6 linked regions of the Macaca mulatta genome follow. The protein of the gene in region 6 interacts with the protein of the main gene of each other region in a biochemical or structural test. Links are inferred from orthologs where the notes say so. Each region holds a gene or a part of one and is shown on either strand. Other genes may lie near its edges. The genes, in order: CDCA8, RACGAP1, CENPA, KLHL9, KLHL13 and AURKB.

The links.
Region 1: the proteins of AURKB (region 6) and CDCA8 form a complex in vitro, tested with the Homo sapiens proteins (3 studies listed by BioGRID, with this or other methods). The link is inferred for Macaca mulatta from reciprocal best matches to the Homo sapiens genes AURKB and CDCA8.
Region 2: of the proteins of AURKB (region 6) and RACGAP1, one has a biochemical effect on the other in vitro, tested with the Homo sapiens proteins (2 studies listed by BioGRID and IntAct). The link is inferred for Macaca mulatta from reciprocal best matches to the Homo sapiens genes AURKB and RACGAP1.
Region 3: of the proteins of AURKB (region 6) and CENPA, one has a biochemical effect on the other in vitro, tested with the Homo sapiens proteins (3 studies listed by BioGRID). The link is inferred for Macaca mulatta from reciprocal best matches to the Homo sapiens genes AURKB and CENPA.
Region 4: the proteins of AURKB (region 6) and KLHL9 form a complex in vitro, tested with the Homo sapiens proteins (2 studies listed by BioGRID and IntAct, with this or other methods). The link is inferred for Macaca mulatta from reciprocal best matches to the Homo sapiens genes AURKB and KLHL9.
Region 5: of the proteins of AURKB (region 6) and KLHL13, one has a biochemical effect on the other in vitro, tested with the Homo sapiens proteins (2 studies listed by BioGRID and IntAct, with this or other methods). The link is inferred for Macaca mulatta from reciprocal best matches to the Homo sapiens genes AURKB and KLHL13.

Annotation. Positions count from the first base shown.
Region 1 is NC_133406.1:203,099,398-203,103,639, reverse strand, and holds the start of CDCA8 (borealin), read left to right. Parts: upstream 1-1,442; 5' UTR 1,443-1,552; exon of another isoform or gene 1,553-1,649; 5' UTR 1,650-1,664; coding exon 1,665-1,758; intron 1,759-1,880; coding exon 1,881-2,009; intron 2,010-4,242.
Region 2 is NC_133416.1:57,169,041-57,172,540, forward strand, and holds part of RACGAP1 (rac GTPase-activating protein 1), read right to left. Parts: intron 3,460-3,500; coding exon 3,295-3,459; intron 153-3,294; coding exon 57-152; intron 1-56.
Region 3 is NC_133418.1:98,214,939-98,218,908, forward strand, and holds the start of CENPA (histone H3-like centromeric protein A), read right to left. Parts: upstream 2,801-3,970; 5' UTR 2,543-2,800; coding exon 2,449-2,542; intron 1-2,448. UniProt on the Homo sapiens protein: Histone H3-like nucleosomal protein that is specifically found in centromeric nucleosomes. Replaces conventional H3 in the nucleosome core of centromeric chromatin that serves as an assembly site for the inner kinetochore.
Region 4 is NC_133420.1:77,885,332-77,889,302, forward strand, and holds the start of KLHL9 (kelch-like protein 9), read left to right. Parts: upstream 1-1,171; 5' UTR 1,172-1,742; coding exon 1,743-3,596; 3' UTR 3,597-3,971.
Region 5 is NC_133426.1:124,576,252-124,580,191, reverse strand, and holds the start of KLHL13 (kelch-like protein 13), read left to right. Parts: upstream 1-1,140; 5' UTR 1,141-1,243; coding exon of another isoform or gene 1,244-1,636; exon of another isoform or gene 1,637-3,940. Other genes in the region: uncharacterized protein LOC144338795, read right to left, coding at 1,244-1,636. UniProt on the Homo sapiens protein: Substrate-specific adapter of a BCR (BTB-CUL3-RBX1) E3 ubiquitin-protein ligase complex required for mitotic progression and cytokinesis.
Region 6 is NC_133421.1:9,727,390-9,731,558, reverse strand, and holds the start of AURKB (aurora kinase B), read left to right. Parts: upstream 1-1,369; 5' UTR 1,370-2,173; intron 2,174-2,828; exon of another isoform or gene 2,829-2,900; intron 2,901-3,358; exon of another isoform or gene 3,359-3,569; intron 3,570-4,169. UniProt on the Homo sapiens protein: Serine/threonine-protein kinase component of the chromosomal passenger complex (CPC), a complex that acts as a key regulator of mitosis.

The sequences.
Region 1 (4,242 bases), on a different chromosome or scaffold from region 6:
GGTTGTCGTCCCCTCTCATCTTGGCCATCTAACTGATGGAGATCCTTAGGCACCCAGCAGACTCGGGTGTCACCCCCACCACCCACTGCCCAGGGCTGACCTTGGGCGGAAGAGCGACATTCAAATATTTTTTGTATATGGAGCAACAAACCAGGGTGGAAGAGAGAGAGAAAGGACTTTCTAGGAAGGGCCAGGCTTGCCAGGGTTTCTATGCTTGGACTGCTCTGTCCCCAAGCTCGCTGGTGCCCATCAGGAGCCTGCTTGGCACCTTTGCTTATTTCTTTGATTGTTCCTGAACTCAGAGGGGGAGAGGCAAGATTATCACTCCCATAGCCTATAACATGCACGCTTAAACACAAACAACCCCTCTGACATGGCTTCATTCCGCATCCACAGGTGAAAAGCACCAAATCCAAACAATCAGGCCACAAACCTGTCAAGAGCTCGCCGGTCTGGCCGTCCAGTCGTCGCCCGCCTTGAGACTCAGCCTGAGCTACAGCTTCGAAACTAGCCTCTAGCCTTGCTGGGTCTCAGCACAACCCTTGAGCAATCCAACCCTGTGGCTGTGGGCAGATGCAAAGATGCACAGTTAGCACTTCCGACAGGACTGCGGCTCAGCGGGGTTCGAGGTCTACACGCCCATTCCCAGGCCCACGGCCAGAACACCCAGAGCTGCCTCCCGCCCTGGGCTCCCTGGAGTGTGGTGGCCGCGGCTCACGCTGCAGTCACCGCGTGGGCAGCTGCCAAGCGCCACTACTCGCACCTGAAGTCGCGGCCCCGCGCTGCACACCCAGTCGAGGCGCCAAGACGCGAACTGGACGGGAGTGGCCGCCCCGCGGGCAAGCGAGGAACAAGAGGGTTCTCCCCACTCGCTGCCCAAACTGGCCACGGGCTGGCGCGCCCACCCCAAAGCCTGCACCCCGGCCCCGCTCCCCTGTCATTCCGCCTCGACCCCTTCCAAACCCTGTCGGGGCTGCTCTGTCTCCGCCGACCCTCCACTTGCCCCAAGTTCGGCCTGGGGAGCTTGGGGCCCTGAGGAGCGCCGACGTAGGCAGCCAACCAGTCAATCAGTCAGAGTGTCACGGCGGCCCCTCGGCTACTCAGTGGCAGCCAGGCCTGGAAGAAGCAGCCGCCGGCCCCGGAGCAGAATCCTACAGCCGACCTGACCTAGCCCGCTCCTAGCCCTCCAGAGATTGGGGTAATGAGGACCCGCCGCAAGGCCTGCCGGGAGTCGCAGTTTGTATAGTTTGCAGCCGGCCAGGGCGGAGCCGGGTGGGTTGGTGGGGAGGGCGGGGAAACAAGCCTGGACCACAACTCCCAGGAGCACCCGCGACGGCGGCGCCCGCGCTGACGCACTCCGGCTATAGGGAGCGCATTGGGCGGGAGACCCCGGGCAGGTAGGAACTTGCTTGTGATTGGATACTGTGGGACGGCGGTTTCTCATTCGTCAGCCTGTGGCTGTGGAGTTTGAATTAGGTGGCGGTTGACGGTAGAGCCGCTCTCTCTCACTGGCATAGCGAGGTTTTACTCAGTCCTTGTCGCGAGACCGGAGGTACGTGCCTGGCGACTTATTCGGGTGGTCCCCATCCGCCCTCCTGGTCCCTACCTGGTTCCTTGCCTCCCTGCCCCATCTCCGCCGCTCCCCGCAGCCTCCGCCGAGCGCCATGGCTCCTAGGAAGGGCAGTAGTCGGGTGGCCAAGATCAACTCCTTACGGAGGCGGAAGCTCGCCTCCTTTCTGAAAGACTTCGACCGTGAAGGTAAAGGGGCCAGGCCGTCGCGGCCTCCTGGGGCGGTCGCGGGATGCTGGCGGGTGGGGACACGAGCTGCACACATTCACCCGCCCCGTGACCCGTGTCCTGTCGGCTCTGCCCTCCCGCAGTGGAAATACGAATCAAGCAAATTGAGTCAGACAGGCAGAACCTCCTCAAGGAGGTGGATAACCTCTACAACATCGAGATCCTGCGGCTCCCCAAGGCGCTGCGCCAGATGAACTGGCTTGACTACTTCGGTAAGAGCTGGAGAGCTTCCCTGGGCGGAGGCCGGGAGCCCCGTGGGGTTAGGTAACACCCTTCAGAAAGGACTCGCTCAGATGTCACCTTTTAATGAAATCTGACATGACCACTTATGGAAAATTGCAGACCCTTTCACTCTCTGTCTCACTTCCGTAAGTCATGTGTCTCCATCCTTTTCTCTAAAGGCCTAGGTAGCAAATATTTTAGGCTACTTGAGCCGGTGGGAGGGGTCTCTGTCGGACAACTTAGCTCTGCTGTTACAGGTCCAAAACAGCTATAGTGAATGGGCATGGATGGGCTGTATTCCAATAAAATTTTAGTTGTGGATACACTGAAATGTGAATTTCACATAATTTTCACACATCAGGAATTTTATTTTATTTTTTTGGAACAGAGTCTCACTCTGTCACCCAGGCTGGAGTGCAGTGCAGTGGTGCGATCTTGGCTCACTGCAACCTCCACCTTCTGTATTCAAGTGATTCTCCTGCCTCAGCCTCCGGAGTAGCTGGGATTACGGTCTCCTGCCACTATGCCCTGCTGATTTTTGTATTTTCAGTAGAGACGAGGCTTCACCATGTTGGCCAGGCTGGTCTCGCACTACTGACCTCAAGTGATCTGCATGCCTCAGCCTCCCAAAGTGCTGGGATTACAGGAGTCAGCCACTGTGCCCAGCCAGAAAATAGTATTTTTAAAAAATATGTATATTTTACCCAACCCATTTAAAAATGAATGAATAAATGACATGGTTAGTTAACCAGAGCTCAGATGAAAGAATAACCCAAAGCAGCTCCTTATGCAGCTTATGGAAATTGCTAACTTAAAAATGGGCACATCAGGCTGGGCGCAGTGGTTCATGCCTGTAATCCCAGCACTTTGGGAGGCTGAGGCGGGCAGATCACCTGAGGTCAGGAGTTCGAGACCAGCCTGATCAACATGGAGAAACCCTGTCTCGGCCGGGCGTGGTGGCTCAAGCCTGTAATCCCAGCACTTTGGGAGGCCGAGACGGGCGGATCAGGAGGTCAGGAGATCGAGACCATCCTGGCTAACACGGTGAAACCCCGTCTCTACTAAAAAAAATACAAAAAACTAGCCGGGCGTGGTGGCGGGTGCCTGTAGTCCCAGCTACTCCGGAGGCTGAGGCAGGAGAATGGCGTAAACCCAGGAGGCGGAGCTTGCAGTGAGCTGAGATCCGGCCACTGCACTCCATCCTGGGCGACAGAGAGAGACTCCATCTCACAAAAAAAAAAAAAGAAAGAAAGAAACCCTGTCTCTACTAAAAATAAAAAAAGTTAGCCGGGTGTGGTGGCGCATGCTTCTAATCCCAGCTATTCAGGAGGCTGAGGCAGGAGAATCGCTTGAACCTGGGAGGTGGAGGTTGCGGTGAGCCAAGAGCCCGCCATTGCACTCCAGCCTGGGCAACAAGAATGAAACTCCATCTCAAAAAAAAAAAGGCACATCAGTTTTCCTGGCCAGAGAAAAATCCCAGCCTGCTTCCCCACTCCCTTATTAAATGTCCAGAGAAATGCAGGAGGCTGTACTTTTCTGCTGGGTTGCAAAAGTTTTCCTTATTATTAATTATCCAGCATGTAGTCTCCTTGCTGGATAGAAATGCATGTTCTGTTCACATATTAGACGTTGAATGATCCTTTTGACTTGTCCTTTTATTTATTAATATTAAGCCATTCATTTGCTCATTTCTACAAATACTGAGCATGTGTGAGTCACAGTGCTAGGTGCTAAAGATGCACTGGGGAATAAAACAGACATTGTCTCTGCCTTCAGAAACATACAGGTTAGTAGAAAAGAGCTATTAGAAAAATCCACATACAATTATGTAATTAAAAGTATAGGTACTACAAAGGAGATAGAATAGAGTAGTTGTCAGTGAGCATATTGTGATTTCTATGCCGGATGGGCATTGTACCAAGTGTTTTACATATATTAACTAATTTTTCTTCATAACTAATAATATCCCTATTTTTCTAAATGACAAGATTAAGGCACAGAGAAATTGGATACTTTGCTCAAGGCCTCATAAGCTAGTTAGTGGAATAGTCTGTTTGAACCCAGGTATTCTGGTTTCATAGCCTGAGATCTTAACTGTTTTACAAGATACTGTGAGGGTTTCTAGCAGGAGGATCTAACCTAACTTTTTATTCTACATGTAAATCTCACAAAGACCTTTTCATTCAACACACATTTACTGTACTTCTATTGACTGCTAAATTT
Region 2 (3,500 bases), on a different chromosome or scaffold from region 6:
AAACCTCCTAATTAACACAAATAACAAATTCACCATCTCCTACGGTTGACTCTTACCTCAGTCAGACCTCTTTGCTCAATCTCATTTACACAATGCACAACAATGGAGGGGATCATTGGAGAAGTCTGGGACACAAAGTCTGCCAGCATTCCCTGGAAAAAAAGAGTTTTAAATTATTATTTACACCATGTAGACCAACAGATGAAGACGACATGTGAAGAACCACCTCCAATCTTATTCTCAGACTGGGACATCATGTCTACTTTTAAATTCCTATTCCCAAAGCATATATTAAAACAGAGACTATCAATTATTTTTCCTACCTCCATGCCAGGACTGATTTATTATCATATATACCACACTTTTTTTTTTCTCTTTCATATATACCACACTCTTATGTGAACAAGGAATAAGACCACCAGCTATAACTACCTCCTTCTCATCCACTCAAGGACAGCAGAAAAAAGCAATAATGAAGTTACAGGTATAGCCAGGCGCGGTGGCTCAAGCCTGTAATCCCAGCACTTTGGGAGGCCGAGACGGGCGGATCACGAGGTCAGGAGATCGAGACCATCCTGGCTAACACCGTGAAACCCCGTCTCTACTAAAAATACAAAAAACTAGCCGGGCGAGGTGGCGGGCGCCTGTAGTCCCAGCTACTCCGGAGGCTGAGGCAGGAGAATGGCCTAAACCCGGGAGGCGGAGCTTGCAGTGAGCTGAGATCTGGCCACTGCACTCCAGCCCGGGCTACAGAGCAAGACTCCGTCTCAAAAAAAAAAAAAAAAAAAAAAAAGAAGTTACAGGTATAGCCTTTAATATAAAATAATTTATTACTCTAAACGGATTTTTTTTTTCTAACAGAAGAACTCTGGAATAAGAGAAAAATAATTTTTTATGCTTTCATTATCCTCAGTAAAAAAAATTACTTAACACATCTTATCACAGTTGATCATGACACAAACCTACCTGTAGGGGAGAACTCCATGGTTCTATATTAAAGTACAGAACATGTGTAAAAAAAAATGTACAGGTGGCCAGATGCGGTAGCTCACACCTGTAATCCCAGCACTGTAGGAGGCCGAGGTGGGCAGATCACCTGAGGTCAGGAGTTTGAGACCAGCCTGACCAACATGGAGAAACCCTGTCTCTACTAAAAATACAAAATCAGCCAGGCGTGGTGGCACATGCCTGTAATCCCAGGGAGACTGAGGCAGGAGAATCGCTTGAACCCAGGAGGTGGAGGTTGCGGTGAGCTGAGATTGCGCCATTGCACTCCAGCCTGGGCAACAAGAGCAAAACATCCTCTCAAAAAAAAAAAAAAAAAAAAAAAAAAAAAAAAAAAAACCAAAAAAAGTACAGGCATGGATAAGAACTTGTAGGATTAGGGGAAAATAACATTTGATTTGCTGAAGAGTAGGTAGGAAGGTAGTCATTTTGATTCTTGCTAATGTTGCTTACATAATAAAATTTTTTTTTTTTCGAGATAGGGTCTTGCTCTATTCCCTAGGCTGGAGTGCAGTGGTGTAATCATGGCTCACTGCAGTTTCAACCTCCCCACCTTAAGCAATAGTCCAACCTATCTCCCTGAGGAGCTATAAACACAGGCATACACCACTAATCTGGCTAACTTATTTATTTATTCTTTGTAGAGATGGAATCTTGCTTTGTTGTCCAGGCTGGTCTCAAACTCTTAGGCTCAAGTGATTTTCCTGCCTCAGCCTCCCAAAGTGCTGAGATTACAGGCATGAGCTACCATGCTCAGCAATAATTTTTTTTTTTTTTTTTTTTTTTTGAGACGGAGTCTCGCTCTGTTGCCCGGGCTGGAGTGCAATGGCCGGATCTCAGCTCACTGCAAGCTCCGCCTCCCGGGTTCACGCCATTCTCCTGCCTCAGCCTCCCGAGTAGCTGGGACTACAGGCGCCCGCCACCTCGCCCGGCTAGTTTTTTGTATTTTTTAGTAGAGACGGGGTTTCACCATGTTAGCCAGGATGGTCTCGATCTCCTGACCTCGTGATCCGCCCGTCTCAGCCTCCCAAAGTGCTGGGATTACAGGCTTGAGCCACCGCGCCCGGCAATAAATAATTTCTTAATGGATTTAATCAGTTTGGATTAAACTGGTTAAATATTTGGAAATAAGCAACTTAATCTTGATACCCTATTATGAAGTATGTCTAACATAAAAGCAAGAATAAAAAGATAATTTTATCACAGATAAAATTATATGATAGCTGAGATTTGCTTCCAAGTAATTCATTGGACAGAGTTAGGAAGAGGCAACGACAGTATTGATAAATCAAGAACAGACATAAAGGCTGGGTGCCGTGGCTCACACCTAGAATCCCAACACTTTAAGAGGCCAAGGCAGGCAGATCACTTGAAGTCAGGAGTTCAAGACCAGCCTGGCCAACATGGCAAAACCCCATCTCTACTAAAAATACGAAAAAATTAGTTGAGCATGGTAGCACACGCCTGCAGTCCCAGCAACTTGGGAGGCTGAGGCATGAGAATCACTTGAGCCCAGGAGACAGAGGCTGCAGTGAGTCAAAGTTGCAATACCACACTCCAGCCTGGGCAACATGGAAACTCTGTCTCAAAAAAAAGAGACATTAAAAAAAGAATGGACATGGCCGGGCACGGTGGCTCATGCCTGTAGTCCCAGCACTTTGGGAGGCTGAGGTGGGCGGATCACTTGAAGTCAGGAGCTTGAGACCAGCCTGGCCAACATGGTGAAACCCCGTCTCTACTAAAAATACAACCAAAAAAAAAATTAGCCGGGCATGGTGGTGGTACATGTCTGTAATTCCAGCTACTTGGGAGGCTGAGGCAAGAGAATCACTTGAGCCCAAGGGGGCAGAGGTTGCAGTGAGCTGAGATCGTGCCAGTGCACTCCAGCCTAGGCAGCAGAGGAAAAAAAAAAAAAAAAAAGAGAATGGACACAAGTTAGTAGTCATGGAAGTTAAGTGATAAGAACCAGGGGTTAGTTACACTAATCTCTTTAGTTTGATATATGTCTGAAATTTTCCAAAATGGGATGAAGGGGAGGAAGGAAGGGAGAAGAGGAGGAAAGGAGAAGCAGGGAAGAGGAAAAAGGGGAGGGCAAAGAAGTTTGGTTTAGAAAGGTATTAGACAGACAAACCCAAATAGGACTCTTCAAGTAAATATCTTACAATTCTATTCATTGTTTGTGGAAAGAAATATATTTGAGATCATTAATTTTAGAACAAAAACTGATACTAAGCCTTTGAAAGGCGAATAAAGAGGCCGTAAAACAATGACGGCTCGTATAAGTCATACCTCTCCAATCTTGACAGGTGTTCCTATCAGGGTAGGAATGCAGGGAAGGGGACAGCGGTCCCGACATTCTGGATGAGAGACCACACGACAGTCTCGGCACTTCAGAGATAATTTGCCAAATTTTATCCGCTTTCCACATGGAACACAGGATTCAGGTTTAATAACCTGGGATAAAACAGAGCAGAAGAAACAGAGTGATATGAATT
Region 3 (3,970 bases), on a different chromosome or scaffold from region 6:
GCTGTTTTAAAAGGAGAGCTATGAAGGGAAATAGAGAGAAATGGGAGGTATAGGGAAGTGAGAATGTGGGGTCAAGGAAACACCCCTGCCCTTTCTCTTAAGATCATAAATATGGTTGGGAGCGGTGGCTCACACCTGTAATCCCAGCACTCTGGGAGGCCAAGGCAGGCGGATCACTTGAGGTTGGCAGTTGGAGACCAGCCTGACCAACATGGTGAAACCCCATCTCTACTAAAAATACAAAATTAGCCAGATGTGGTGGCGCATGCCTGTAATTCCAGCTACTCGGAAGGCTGAGGCAGGAGAATCACTTGAACCCAAGATGTGGAGGTTGCGGTAAGCCGAGATCACCGTTGCTCTCTAGACTGGGCAACAAGAGGGAAACTCTGCCTCAAAAAAAAAAAAAAAAAAAAAGATCATAAATACTAGAGCACATGTGCCAATGCCAGTGTTAAGTGTCTGGATTTATCTAAGCACAGGTAGAAAGCTCCTTTGTAGGTGAAAGAAGGATATGACCAAGACCCCATGTAGAAGGAGGAAGAGCTTTGATAGGAAGGGGGACACCTAGTCAAGGCCATCATTGGCTAAGAGTAGGGGGAATGGAGCTGTAGGAAGTCGAGGAAGGAGAAAAAGGTATGAAATAGTCATGGGGAGAATGGAAAAGCAAGAATTCCAGACAAAGGGCAGGCACGATGGCTTTTCTTTGTAGAGACAAAACAATTTGTCTCTACAAAAAAGCTTTAAAAATAGTCAAGCATGGTGGTGCACATGTCATCCTAGCTATTCGGGAGGCTGAAGCAAGAGGATTGCATGAGCCCAGGAGGTCAAGGCCGCAATGAGCCAAGATAGCACCACTGCACTACAGCCTGGACGACAGAGTGAGACTCCGTCTCTAAAACTGAAGAAAGAATACCAGACAAAGGTGGTAGGACTGCCAAGAAGTGTTGACTGCCCATTTGAGATAAACCTTCCATTTGATCAGGAGTAGAAGGATGCTTCTACCTTGGAAAGCAACAGCAAACATCATACTTCATATTCCCGTTAAAATTACAAATAAGACAAAGATGGCCAAAACACCACTCTTAGTGAGTCTCAGGGCCTTACTAATACCATACAATAAGAAATAAAATGTTTAGAGACGAAAATGAAAGATTCTAAAGTTATGTGCAGATGACATAATAGTCTACTTAAAAATTTCAATTGAAGCAACTAAAAGAGACTAGGATGAACGAGAAGTCAGCAAGTTGGCTGGATGCAAAGGTTAAATGCTTGTGTTTTGGGAAAGAAAAAAAATCCCATCCGCAACAGCAACATCTAGAAACAACCTACTCCAGCCTAGGCAACATGGCAAAACCCCATCTCTACTAAAAATACAAAAAATTAGCCGGCATGGTGGCATATGCCTGTAGTTTCAGCTACTCGGGAGGCTGAGGTGGGAGAATCACCTGAGCCTGGGAAGTTGAGGCTGCAGTGAGCCCTGATGGCATCACTGCACTCCAGCCTGGGCGATAGGTCTCAAAAAAACACAAAAAAACAAAAAGCCTATAGGCACAGTGGCTCATGCCTGTAATCCCAGCACTTTGGGAGGCCCAGGCAGGAGGATCACTTGAGGATCACCAGGAGTTTGAGACGAGCCTGGGTAACATAGGGAGACCGAGTCTCTATAAAAAACAATGAAACAGACAAACTCTACAATACACTTCCCATCTTCTTCCTAGCTATGCAGCAAGAGTTAAGAGATAAGTAAAGCAGCTGTTGCCACCGTGTACCACACAGGCATCTGCCTCCTCCTGCCCTTGGGTCTCCCATCCACCAGCCTACCACACAGACAATGAAGACACAGACTTTGGCCCCTCTTTCCCCGGACACAAGCTCTGGAACGCAACAGCGTGAGCAGCGCAGAAGGCCTCGGTTCGAGGCCTAAGAGCCTGTCCCGGAAGGGGAAAAAAAACCTGAAAGACACCTCCTAAGAGGACTCCTGTTTGAAATCGTCACCGAAAGCAGTCAATACTTGTGCAATCTAAAAATGCACAAACACAGAGGATTGGAAATCCCGTGTCCGCCAGAACAAGTTGTGTGACTCTGCTCAAGCTCCCTGGCTTGTGCCTTGGCTTTCTCATTAGCTGTAAAATGGGCACGATATGAAGCTGAGATAACGCACGAACAGTGGGACGCAATGCCTGGTTGGCGGTGGGCGCTGGGTAACCGCTAGTCCTAACAAGAAGACGGCGTTAGGGGCCAAGTGGCTGCGCCGGTCCCTTCACGCTTTCGGAACCGCTTGCTCCAGTCCCTCGCAGGGCTGCCACCGCCCGTGCCCGGAGCGGATGCCAGACGGCGGAACCGCGTTGTCCCCCAGCAGGGAAGGCCACGGGATCGGGATTCGGGAGATCCGGGCTCCGCCTGCGAGCCTCGGTTTTCTCCTCTACGAGATGGGCCGCGGCCAGTTACCTAAGGAGGGGCCCCGCCGGGAGGGGCCGGGGGTCGGGCTCGGGCTGCGCCTTCTCGGGGCCTCGGGCTTGCGGCTCCGGCGGCGCGGGCCCATGTCACGCCGCGGAGGGTGCCGGCGCCCGGCCCCACGGCTCCTGCTCGGGCGGCCGGGTCCGGGGGCGAAAGGCTGGCTTCTGGGGAGCCCAGAGAACGCTGGGCCGCGAGCCTCACAGGAGCCGGTGCTTGGCCGCAGTCCGCGCCGCTCGCGTTCAAATCGCTCGCTCCGCCCACTTCACCGCCGGCGTTTTTTAAAACCCGAATCCAGCGACTTCCAGTGGCTGACTCTGGAACGCCCCTTACGTAGAGCGACTGCAGGTAGGACCAATGAGAGTATGAACAAATAGCGGCGATGGTAGGAGGATAGGGGCGACTGATGGTAAAATCAACCAATAGACACCTAAAGAAGTAAGAGGGGGCGGGAAATTCTCCTGCCCCTGCTTGCCAATCTGGGTGCTGGTGTTTGCGGGACCGTACTGACGTCCTCAGGTGCCCTCCAGTCAAAACACCGAAGCTCAGTTCGGAACGTAGATGGTGTGTTTGTAGCACGTGCTTTTCTAGACAAGTCACTTTCCTTAAACATTTTATGCTTTGCCCTAGCAACGCAGAGACGACTTTTAAAGACGAGGAAACAGACCCACAGAGAATGTGACAACCCCATGTCGTGTCTGCGACCCTTCCAGGAATTATCCACAAATACACTCAGAAGCCAGTTCAACTGCGTGAACTTCAACTGCTGATCCTTGGGGTCGCGGGGACGGCGGGATCAGCGGAGCTTGGGTTCCGGCAGGGCAGGCCTCGGCACTATAGCAACGCAATCGTCCCAGAAAAACGCTCACTTCCCTTTGTTGGGGATAATAAAAATTCAAGTCCTGTCCCAGTATGTAGAGTAAGGAGAATTTTAATTTTCTAAATTTTATTTCTTGCATTTTCTAAATGTAGTACAGTGAACATGTAATCAGGAAAAAAGTTAGTTATAAAATTAGTGATTTCATGGAACCCTTGTGCATTGCTGGTGGGAGTGTAAAATGCTGCGGCTGCTGTGAAAAATAGTATTGGTGGTTCCTCAAAAAATCAAAAATAGAATTACCAGATGATCCAGTAATTCCACTTCTGGCTAAATATCCAAAAGAATTTAAATATAGCCAGGGACTTGAACAGATATTCTCACACCCGTGTTGATAGCGGCATTCTTCACAACAGCCCGAAGGCAGAAACAGCCTGAATGCCCATCAACAGATGTATGGATAAACAAAATGGGGCGTATACCACAATGGGAATTCTGACACCTGCTGCAACATAGATGAACCTTGAGGACGTTATGCTAAGTGAAATAAGGCAGTCCACCAAGGGACAAATGCTGGGCCGGGGTGCGGTGGTTCACACCTGTAATCCCAGCACTTTGGGAGGCCGAGCTGTTCAGATCCCTTGAGTTTGAATCCAACCTGGCCAACATGGCGAAACCCCATCTTGCCGAGTGTGGTGG
Region 4 (3,971 bases), on a different chromosome or scaffold from region 6:
AATATAAATAAGCTCTCCAGCCTGGGCGACACAGCGAGACTCCGTCTCAAAAAAAAAAAAAAAAAAAAAAAAAAAAAAAAATATATATATATATATATATATATAAATAAGCTCTCTATAGTAATTCAGGAAGATCTTGAAGTGAAAAAAGAAAAATGCAGAACAGTGTACATGGTATGCTATCTTTTACATAAAAATGAGGAGAGTGTAATAAAAACATGACTATTCTTACTTTGCACACACTTAAAGAACTAGAAGGACTTAAAAGACATAAACTTCAAAATTTGGAAAATGGAAGAAACTGTGTCAAAGTATACATTGATTTGTATGTCAAAATTTAAATTTACCACTAATTAAAGAAATGTAAATTAATAAAATACTTAAAAAGGGAAAAGTCAGCAGAAGGGAAAGGCACAAACATTGCTCATGATAATATTTTGGAAATACTGTCTTGGATCAGCATTTTACTAAATATTATCCATAACAGGGCTAAAATTTTGCTACCAGATTCTGTAAATTTACTACAGATTCTATAAAACAATGGAGGATAAGAAGGTACATATTCAGGAACAAACAATGGGCAAAGGAAACTATAGTATGTTATTGAAAAATTATGTAGCCATTTTTAAAATTATGGAAAACAAAGGCATTTCAAGCCAAAAATTTAGACTATACCATTTATATAATAAAGTAACAATCTAGTAGAGACAAATATTTTGCCTTTGAAATTATAACAAATTTGAAAATACGAACCAAAATTGTAACTAAGGTATCTATTACATAATGTGGGATAACAATTATTGTTTTGTAGAGGAAAAAAAAAATTAAGCATCCAGGTTTCCTCTCAATTTATACAAAAGCCGCGTTTCACTGTTATTCAAAAAAACAGAAACTAGGAATTGCAAAGTTTTAAAAAATGTATGCATTTGGGGAACGTAAGAGCTCAGATATGTGAAAAACTTACATCAAACATGCAGCATAATATACGTGCACACATTCTGTCCTATTTTGTCCCACATACAAGGCAGATCTAAGGAGCCGGGCTCGCGCCCACTCCAGACAGCTCGTCTTCCTCAACCCCCGCCCTCCCCGCCTCCCGCACACTTCCTCCCCCTTCCCCACCCCCACACGCCCGCCCACTGACGAGCTCTGGAGGCCGCGCAGCCGCAGTAGCCGCTACGGCCGCTCCCACCCCGCGGGATCCTGGGAGTAAGCTTTTCCGGAAGGAGCGGCTCGGCGTCGGGGCTAGGCCGGTATTCTAGGCCCAAGCCCAGTCCCAGGCCTGTGTTCCAGGTCCTTGCTCAAAGACAGGTCGGTGGCCGCTGCGACACTCTAGGTACAGCGGAGGGCGCAGCGGGCCGTTCGCTGAGGTTCCCGGACCCGCCGCCGAGCGGGCCGTGGAGCCACAGTACGTGGCGGCGCCTTTTCGTTGCCCGAAGCGGAACTGCAGAAGGAGCGGCAGCGCAGGCCGGACGAGGTGAACCGGGTCATTTAACCGCCTTCAGGTGATGAATCATCTGTCTAATAATCAGATTTGAGGTCCACAGCCCTTTGTGGTCCTGCTACAGGGCGATTTTCAGTGGATGACTGACTGGCGTGGCCTGAGGGGTGCCGCAGTGGCTGCCTTCCCTTGATAAGGAAACGAGCTTTCTGTTCTTTGTGGACACCTCGTTGCCTGTAAAACATTCCGGTTATAACTTCTTTCTCCGGCTTGCATCTCTGTGCAAGAGGAAAGCTTTCACATGAAAGTGTCCCTTGGTAACGGCGAAATGGGCGTCTCTGCCCATTTGCAGCCTTGTAAGGCAGGAACCACACGCTTTTTTACCAGCAATACACACAGTTCGGTGGTACTGCAAGGCTTTGATCAGCTTAGAATAGAAGGATTGCTTTGTGATGTGACTCTGGTACCAGGTGATGGAGATGAAATCTTCCCTGTTCACAGAGCTATGATGGCGTCTGCTAGTGATTATTTCAAAGCTATGTTCACAGGTGGAATGAAAGAACAAGATCTGATGTGCATTAAGCTTCATGGGGTGAACAAGGTTGGTCTGAAGAAAATCATTGATTTTATTTATACTGCAAAACTTTCTCTTAATATGGACAATCTTCAGGACACACTTGAAGCTGCTAGTTTTTTACAAATATTACCCGTTTTGGATTTCTGTAAAGTATTTCTTATATCAGGAGTCTCTTTAGATAACTGTGTTGAGGTTGGACGAATTGCTAACACCTACAATCTCATAGAAGTGGATAAATATGTTAATAATTTCATCCTGAAGAACTTTCCTGCTTTATTGAGTACTGGGGAGTTTCTAAAACTCCCTTTTGAACGGCTTGCCTTTGTGCTTTCCAGTAATAGTCTTAAGCACTGTACCGAACTCGAACTCTTTAAGGCAGCCTGTCGCTGGCTAAGGTTGGAAGACCCTCGGATGGATTATGCTGCAAAATTAATGAAGAATATTCGATTCCCACTGATGACACCACAGGATCTCATCAATTACGTGCAGACAGTAGATTTCATGAGAACAGACAATACCTGCGTGAATTTGCTTTTGGAAGCCAGCAATTACCAAATGATGCCATATATGCAGCCAGTGATGCAGTCAGATAGAACTGCCATTCGATCTGACTCCACTCACTTGGTTACATTAGGAGGAGTTTTGAGGCAGCAGCTGGTTGTCAGTAAAGAATTACGAATGTATGATGAAAGGGCACAAGAATGGAGATCTTTAGCCCCGATGGATGCTCCCCGTTACCAGCATGGTATTGCTGTCATTGGAAACTTTCTTTATGTAGTTGGTGGTCAAAGTAATTATGATACAAAAGGAAAAACTGCTGTTGATACAGTTTTCAGATTTGATCCTCGGTATAATAAATGGATGCAGGTTGCATCATTAAATGAAAAGCGTACATTCTTTCACTTGAGTGCCCTCAAAGGACATTTGTATGCAGTTGGTGGGCGCAGTGCAGCTGGTGAACTGGCCACAGTAGAATGTTACAACCCAAGAATGAATGAGTGGAGCTATGTTGCAAAAATGAGTGAACCCCACTATGGCCATGCTGGAACAGTATATGGAGGCTTAATGTATATTTCAGGAGGAATTACCCATGACACTTTCCAAAATGAGCTTATGTGTTTTGACCCAGATACAGATAAGTGGATGCAAAAGGCTCCAATGACTACAGTCAGAGGTCTGCATTGCATGTGTACGGTTGGAGATAAGCTCTATGTCATTGGCGGCAATCACTTCAGAGGAACAAGTGATTATGATGATGTTCTAAGCTGTGAATACTATTCACCAACCCTTGACCAGTGGACCCCAATTGCCGCCATGTTAAGAGGCCAAAGTGATGTTGGAGTTGCGGTCTTTGAAAATAAAATCTACGTTGTTGGTGGATATTCTTGGAATAATCGTTGTATGGTAGAAATTGTCCAGAAATATGACCCAGAAAAAGATGAGTGGCATAAAGTTTTTGATCTTCCAGAGTCACTTGGTGGCATTCGAGCTTGTACACTCACAGTTTTTCCACCTGAAGAAAACCCTGGGTCACCTTCTAGAGAATCACCTCTTTCAGCACCTTCAGATCATTCTTAGGTCTAAGGTGTAACACCTTTGCAGTACATCATGGGTGATCTAATACTTCTTCAGTTGTATCTTCTTACAGTGATTGGTACAGTTATTAGATATAAAGGTAACTGATGTTATTCGTCTTGTTTGGCTTTTAGTATGTTTATCAAGTGACTAACAAATGCATTCTGAAGATGTATTTAACATAGCTAGCTGTTTTAACAAATGAGAAAAAAAGATGTAGAAAAATGTTTAGATGTCTTTTTGTGATGTTATATAAAATTGTAGATGACTGTGGTAAATGTGTAATTATGTCCATTATGCTTCAAAGTCGAGTTTTCATCTTTGACTCCAAAATGTCAGAGGGAGGTCACTGTAACCTAAAATTAACGAAAGGTTGCC
Region 5 (3,940 bases), on a different chromosome or scaffold from region 6:
AAAACAGCCAAAGAAAAAAATCACAACAGTGATTAAACTGGTTGCTAAGAGCAAACTCCCTTTATTTTCCCAAGGAGGAGTCTGGAATTATAAGTAGAAAGGCAAGGAAGGGCAAAGGAAGAGGTGTAAGAAGGTGGCCCCAGGCTGTAACCGTCAAGAAGGCAAAGAATGAATAGAAGACAAGCAAGGGGAAAAACAGGCTTGACGGGGGTTTTTGTTGGGGGCTAGGCTGATAGAACAGAATCAAGATTCTGACTTAGAAGAGCAGTCCCACCAGAGTTGGGAAGCAGGTCGCATAGTTAAGAGCCTGGGTGCCAGAATCACACCGCTTGGGATCCTGAGTCCCGCTCTGTCACTATTTACGTAACCTCTGGCAACTTGCTTAACCTATACACCTCAGTTTTGTCACTTGTAAAATGGAGACAATAGTGTGTAACTTACAGAGTAGCTGTGAATTAGGTAAGTTGAAGCTTCAGTGCTTGGTTCATAGCAGACGCTCAGTAAAATGTTAAACGGTTATTTGTAGTTTTTATCCTTCCTCTTTCTTAATGTTGTGTACTGCAGCAGGGAGGGGGAGGGATGAAGCGCTTATCCCACCAGAAGAGTGGTATTTGTGTGAGAGCCTGGGTCAGGCTTATTTTGAGACGTGGGCCCCACTGAGGTGAGGTGGCACCGCTTCCAGAGCACACCCTTTGCCGGGGCCCTGCCGTGACTATGAGGAGGCCGAGGCCACGGCTGGCAGAATGCACGGGTGGACCTCCTTGGAGTGGCTCACCCAGGGCGGCTGCACTGTTGTCCTTGGATACTTGACACTTTTCACTTTCTCTGCCTCCCGGCACTAGAAGCCATGTGGGCTCACACTCGACCCTCCCGGGTTCGGAGGCGTGAGGGCCACTTAGCGGTCATTCAGCTTCAGGGTCCAGCCCTGTCAAGCTTTGGCTACAGCCCGGGAGTTCCGTTGGGACCCCACACACTGTCCTAGCCACAGCTCCCCGCCACCCTGCCTCCCGCGCAGGCGCCGCCGGGGCCACCCCCGCCGCCATGTTTCCCCCGCCCGCGCGCTCCCTCCCCCCACTGCCCCCTCCCTCCCCAACTGGGTTCCCGCCCCCCCTCCCTCAGCAGTCCCCCCCACACCCTGGTGAGGTCAGGCGGAGGCTCTGCCGCTGCGGCCGCAGTAGCTCAGCTCCTATTCCCGGGAAGCCTGGAACGGGGAGTTTTGAAAATAACTGGAGCGGCATTCGGGTTAGGGTCCGTGCTCTCCGCTTGCGCCAGGACAGGGTGAAGTGGCCGGGACTAGCAGAGGGTGCGAAGGTGCGGGTGCTGGTGCCTCGCAGCAGGAGGGAGCCCCGGCTGCGCCGCGAGACTCCCTCTTTGGCCCTCGGAGCGCAGCACCCGGCGGACAAGCGGCGCGACGCCAGGACGCGGCGAGCAAGGTGAGGCAGGGTCCCGAAGTCACAGGGGCTCCATCAGCCGCTTCCCTGCCTCCGGACCTGGCGCTGCGCGGTGCGCGGCGAGGAGTTGCGATCTGTACCAGGGGCAGAGGAGTAGAGGAGCAGGGAACCAGCTTCGTTTTGCCCGCCGCCCCCTCTTTTTCTCCCGCGTGCTGGTGCGCGCCCTCATCCTTACACCTTCGCATCCCGTTCTCCCGGTCCTTCTGGCTCCGTCGGACGCCTGGGTTTTTCTAGGACCCCAGAAGCCGGCTTTCCTGTGCTTCTTTGTCATCTCTCCAAGATTTTCTTCTCTGGGCCTCGCTGTTGCTGCCCTGACGGTCTGGGGTCCCTCTGCCCGCCCCGGCCCCACTGTCTCTTGCCCTCTAACAGTTTCTGCTTTGTGCCTCCTAATCCATCTCTTCCTTCAGAAGCTTCTTACTTAGGAGGCTCCTCTCCTGGCTCCCAAGTCAGGAGCACACTCCTCTTCTTCCTCGAAGCTTTTAACTTCGCTCTGAATGTCTTCAGCTCTGAATATTTTGACTTTTTTTTTGTTTGCTTGTTTAATCACAGTTGACTAATGATTTTCGTGGAGGCTTATAGTCTAGGCTACAGTTTACTGAAAGTGATGAGATCATCCCTTCACTAAATAGCCTTAGTAAATATCAACTAGGGAACTTTAAAGTTTCTTTCTAGGTTTCATTAACTTAGCCCAAGAACAATAGTCACTTAAAATGTATGTATATATGTTTGTACGCAATTTTCGTACATGGTCCTAAATCTGATTATTCCCTGGCTGCTGAACAGGCCTGAGAGAGAGGATTGGTGGGGCTTGTGATGCCTGGCTCCATTTCTCTAATTGTAAACTGGGATGTTCATAGTTTTAATGTAGTCAGAGGACTTTAGTGGTTTGGGATAAAGTCGTTCAAGTTAGCATAGGCTGGCAACTAAGCACATTGAATGGAGACTAAGAAACGCTGGAATTTAAAACTGTCTCTGGAGAGCACCTGCTTTTTAAAAAATTTATTATTTTTTTGAAGCCACAGTTTCTTAACAGTAGATTTCATATTTGTATAAACCGTCTAAAAGCAGCGTATTTTAAAACCACGTAGTTACAAAAAAGACTACTCACTCTTAGGGATATCACTTTCTCCCCATGTAGTTGTGGTGTTAGCTCCCATACTGAGGTTCATTTGCTCACTTCCATACTGCAATTAGTGTGTGAAGAAAACTGAATGGAGAAGCACACAGTGGAGGCAAATACCAGTGAACAAGCACATGCTGACATATGCAGCTGTGTTTTTGGAAATAGGCTGTATCTAGTGTTCAAATTTAAAAACTGAGAAAAATGAAATAATTCAGCATTTATGACATCATTTTACATCTAAAAATATTAGCTCCCTTAACTGCAAGTTCTTATTAATAGCCTCATACTTAACGGTAAAAGAGTTGTTTGCCTGATGTGTGACCTAGTGTTGCCATTGACACAGTGTGCACTAATTGGCAGCAATCTCAGAAGAAACCAGGTTGTGAATGAAGATAATGGCTAAATTTCACTGTCCCGGTGGCACTTCTTATGGCAGTGAGATGAGAGTAGTTTCTGCTGCAGCATCAAATGATGTATTTAAAAAACAGATAAATAAGAGCTTCAATTATTAAAAAGCCCAAGGTTTTTAATTTGCCATTTTTATAAACACACTTCAAAAAGTGTCGTGTGATTATATAAGGCTTAGTTGATGTTCTGAAGAAAGTAGTTTTCACAAGAAAAGTAAAGCCTATTGCTTATCCATTTAGTTAGATAACTTGCAGATGATTTGTAGTTTCCCAATTGATTTGGTAAATTCCTGGGTTTACTTGAGGTTTATTAAAAAATGGAATGTAGTAGGGAAAGGGTACTTATTCTAATAGGCCCACCTTTCTAAATCTGTAATTTTCTTAGCAAACCATTCTCAAAAGACATAAAAACTTACAACTTTTTCAAGGAAAAGAGTTTATACTATTTTCTTACTTTTTTCTTTTCATGATTGTTATTGATACAAAATCTAAGCTAAGATTGCTAGTAATGTGATTGCATAGTAAGACTGTATTTGCCAGGAAAAGAATAAAGGTGGATGTGAATTAGCCATAAACATTTTGCTCTGAATCTTCAATATGACTCAATATGTGTTTGATAGTCCATCTGGTACACCTAGAGATTATCAGACTAGATATTTCTGTTATTACTAAATGTAACTGCACTTATTTATTGGATTATCTTCTTTCTCATTTTATTTACATTTCACATTCTCTTCATGTAATTTGACTTGCGGTAGTGAAATGAGACTGACCAATTTTCAAATTGTTTGATTTTTATTGATGTTTGGTAAGCCACTAAAACCTCTTGAAAATATTTTTTTCTTAAATCCACTGATTGAAACCGATGTATTTTTATTGCTATGAAATAATACAACAAATTTCCAGGAATTATTTCAGAAAATGTGGAAAGACTGTAGAGAAATGAATAGCCCTAGAGA
Region 6 (4,169 bases):
TTTTTGTATATTTAGTAGAGACGGTGTTTCACCATTTTGGCCAGGCTGGTCTTGAACTCCTGACTTTGTGATCCACCCGCCTCAGCCTCCCAAAGTGCTGGGATTACAGGTGTGAGCCACCGCCCCCGGGGAAGAGGGTCATAGCTTTCATAAGGGTCATAAAGGATTTAGGCCTCCCCTTCTGCAGAGATTAAGTTCTTCAGACCAGGGAAGAAAGAGGTGACTGGATTATTTTGCAGAGAAAGCTGGAGCCCAAGGGGAGGGAGACAGGAATTGGAAAAGGGTAGGGATGGGGGAGGAGATGCCAGATCAGCCCTGAGAACCTCTTTACCCGTCTCAAAGACTTAGGACACTAATGGGAAAGACTGGGCTAACTTCTGCCCTTCCCCACTGTCTGCCCAGGGACACCTGGGAAAGGACAAATAGGAGCTGAATCCTTCACTGAAGGCCCCGTCAACGTATCTATGGGTTGGGCGTTAGGAACGGCCTGGCCCCACAAATCACATAACTGGGGTGTAGAACAAAATGGTTCCAGAGATGCTACCAGGCTGGTCCAGGACCGATGCAGGCCAGAACCCCGCGGGGAGGACTCCCCAGAACAGGCACTGAGCTGAGGAAAGGCAGAACACGTGGTCTGCTACTGACTCCACCAGATCTTCTGGGACTCTGGGCAGCTCCGGAGTACTGCTAAGTCCCCAAACCGGGTCTACAGGTCTTAGACCACACTCGTGAGGCCACTTGCCTCAGAGCCTTCGGGGGGGTCTTAGGAGGCAGGCAGGAAGGTCTCCTTCTAGGCCATTCTAGGAGGGGACTGGAGAGCAGAGGTTAGACCGGAGGGTAGGGGTAACCTGATCTTACAGTCCAGAAGCCACGAGACTAGTCGCCTGGCCTTGCGCCCCGCCCCACTGCAGGGTGGAAAGCCTGTCCCACTCCAGTCACCCAGATCAATAACGCCCTCCACCGTGGGTCTCCTGGGCCCCAGAAATCGTTCCCTCTTTCCCTCGCCTGGGCACTGCCACGCGGTCTGGGGAACCCGTAGTCTATCGACGGGTCTGGCCCGGGGTTTGCCCTGCCCGTTAGCCCAGGAGGATAGACAGACACGGGGAACTGGTGTTCCCCTAGTGATTTCAAGGCTCATTAACTGTCTCCGACCCGTCCCGAAAGCAAGCAACTCCACCGCTTCTCTTCAAAGCTCTGCAACGAAGGACTAGGTCCAAGGACCGCAGGCGGAGGCGGGAATTGTCAAGATCCCAGGTTACGGAATGGCACCGAGTCGGTGACCAAAGGAAGCAGGAACCCGGGTGTTCAAGGCAGTCCTCCAGGGCGGCGCGGGGGCTAGGCTGAGGCCACTCCCTTCCACTTCCTCGACGCTATTTCCTGGGAGGAGTTGGAGCTGGCGGCCCAGAGCCAAGGGACTCCCAGACCCGTGCTCCAAAATACTAGGCTTGGGGGAGGCTGGTTCCTGAGCGGCGCCAGGACCGTTCTGCCATGCATAGTGGACCCGGCACTACAGCTAGCCTGGCACGACCTCTAGGGCGGTTCGCAACGGCATTCGTACGTCGGCTCGTTGGTCTAGGGGTATGATTCTCGCTTCGGGTGCGAGAGGTCCCGGGTTCAAATCCCGGACGAGCCCTCCTTTACGTTTTGCTGAAATAAGAGTGTCTTCAAGGAATGTGTTACCTGACCAGCGCTGCAGGAGGCTTCACTGGAAATCATCAATGTACAGTAAGCTCTTTTGTGGCACCGGGGTAACAGAAAGAATCTCAGTCCCCAGACCCGCCTGGCATGTCAGGAAGAGACGAGGCACGCCCAGACTTGGGCAGGACGCTCCCTTTCTGCTTCTTGACTTCCTGCGTGGTGTCTCAACTCCGCCACTACAGCCTGGTTTCGGTTTGATTGACACCCATCAATCTATAGTTGTGGATGACAGTGTTCGGGAGAGCCCAGGAACTGTCAGAACTTGGTTCTCTGCAGCCCTGGAGGTACTCTGTCTCTTTCGGTCACTCCGTCTGACGATGGGTGCCTGAAATACACCTACAGTTTCTGGTCGGCTTTTCTCGGTGGTCGGAAGAACAGAACCCTTAGGAACTCTGCTGTCAGCAAGCCGAGTGTAAAGTCCCAGATCAAGGATTTGGAGACGACCATTGACGGGTCACTCCTCGTTAGTATAGTGGTGAGTATCCCCGCCTGTCACGCGGAAGACCGGGGTTCCATTCCCCGAGGGGGAGAATCCAAATGATTTTGCTTTCATTAAATCCGTCCTGGCCCCTGGGATGGAGCTAGAAAAAAGAGGGAAAGGAGGAGGGGAGGAAAGTTTGGCCTACCTCTCCAGCTCGCATTCTAAGTTTCCATTTTAGTTCAAGCAACTTGGAGTTCAAACGTGTACCTAAAGTGGCCACTATCTCCTCCGCTCAATATGTTCATTAGTGCTCAAACTTGATCTAGCTTGCTCCCTCCTTGACGGCAGTGCGCATTTCCAGTCTCTGCTTGAACCTGGGCAAGCAGCCATTTGGCCCCCGGCTGTCCAGGGTGCAGAGCCCGGGCTTTTGTTTCCTTTCACCTCCCTGCGTTTTGTGGATTCGCACTGCGATCCGGGAACAGTAGGCAACCCCGGGCCGAAATTCCGACAGGCTGCTCTCACCTGGAGGGGCTTGCAGGGCGCATCCGCCAGGAGCGCGGTGGTCCGGCAGTGGTCGCAGGTGTAGCGGAAAGCGGGTTCTTTCGGAGAGGACGGTTCCTCAGGAAAACCTCACGAAAATCCTCAACGATGGTGGGGCCCAGAAAACACGAGAAAGAAAAGAGGGAAAAAAAAAAATTCAAAATGCACTTGCGTTGGCCGGGAATCGAACCCGGGTCAACTGCTTGGAAGGCAGCTATGCTCACCACTATACCACCAACGCTTAGGTACTGCTGTTTTCTTTCATACCTCATGTTGATTGCGGTGAGTCGCGTTGGACCCGTGCGGAGCCAGGGAAACAGCATCAGCGAGATCCAGGTAAAAGTAATGGCTGCTGTCGTCTGCCCGGCGCAATTGTGCGTGACCTTTACCGCTAGTGCGCGCCACCCCACATGAACCTGTAGGGTTATGCCCAGTCTACAGACGAGGAAACCAAGGTCCAAAGAAGTTGAGTCACCGGCAGAGCTGGGATTACATCTAAGATCTCTCCAGGGGGCGAGAACTGCAGCGGCATCATGATGATTTATCATCTCCAGAAAAAAAAAAAAAAAAGAGTCCTAGACGCATAAAAATCGCTTCTCTGTAGAGTGGGCTCAATGAGCTCAATGTGATTCAAGTTAAGGAACTGGGCCCTAAGTCAAATGCGCCTAAACACAATTTGCCTCTTTATTATTTATTCAGATTCCTACGTACGTGCGCCCACATCTCGTCAGCTGGTGCCTCGCAGAAATGCGCTGACAAATCTTAAAGATACGGCTTCATGACAAAAGTCCTCCCCTTATTGCTGTTCAAGAGACCCCTCAAGTCACCCTCTCGGGCAGGCCTCGTGGCGCAACGGTAGCGCGTCTGACTCCAGATCAGAAGGTTGCGTGTTCAAATCACGTCGGGGTCAAACCAAACATTGTTTTCCCTAATCAAATAGATTTACGGTGACATTTTTAGGGACAGGACAAAAAAAACCTCCTCAGTAGAAGGATAGGAGGGGAATGAGACAAATGTGAACGTTATTCAGAAGTTGGGTACAATTTCAGTTGGGTACAGACTTTCAGCACTATGTGATATATCCCTGAGGCAAAACTGCACATGTACCCCTAAAGTCTATAAAAGTAAAAATAAATTTAAAAATTAAAAAAATTACTGTTGTATGGAAATTTTTTAAGAATTTTTTTCAATTATTATTGTTTGTTTGTATCTTTTTTCCCTTGAGATGGAGTTTCTCTTTTGTTGCCTAGGCTGGAATGCAATGGCACTATTTCAGCTCACCGCAACCTCCAGCCATGGGTTCAAAAGGATTCTCCTGCCTCAGCGTCCCGAGTAGCTGGGATTACAGGCATGCACCACCACGCCCGGCTAATTTTGTATTTTTAGTAGAGAGGGGGTGTCTCCATATTGGTCAGGCTGGTCTCGAACTCCCAACCTCTGGTGATCCGCCCGCCTGGGCCTCCCAAAGTGCTGGGATTACAGGTGTGAGCCACCGTGCCCAGCCTTTTTA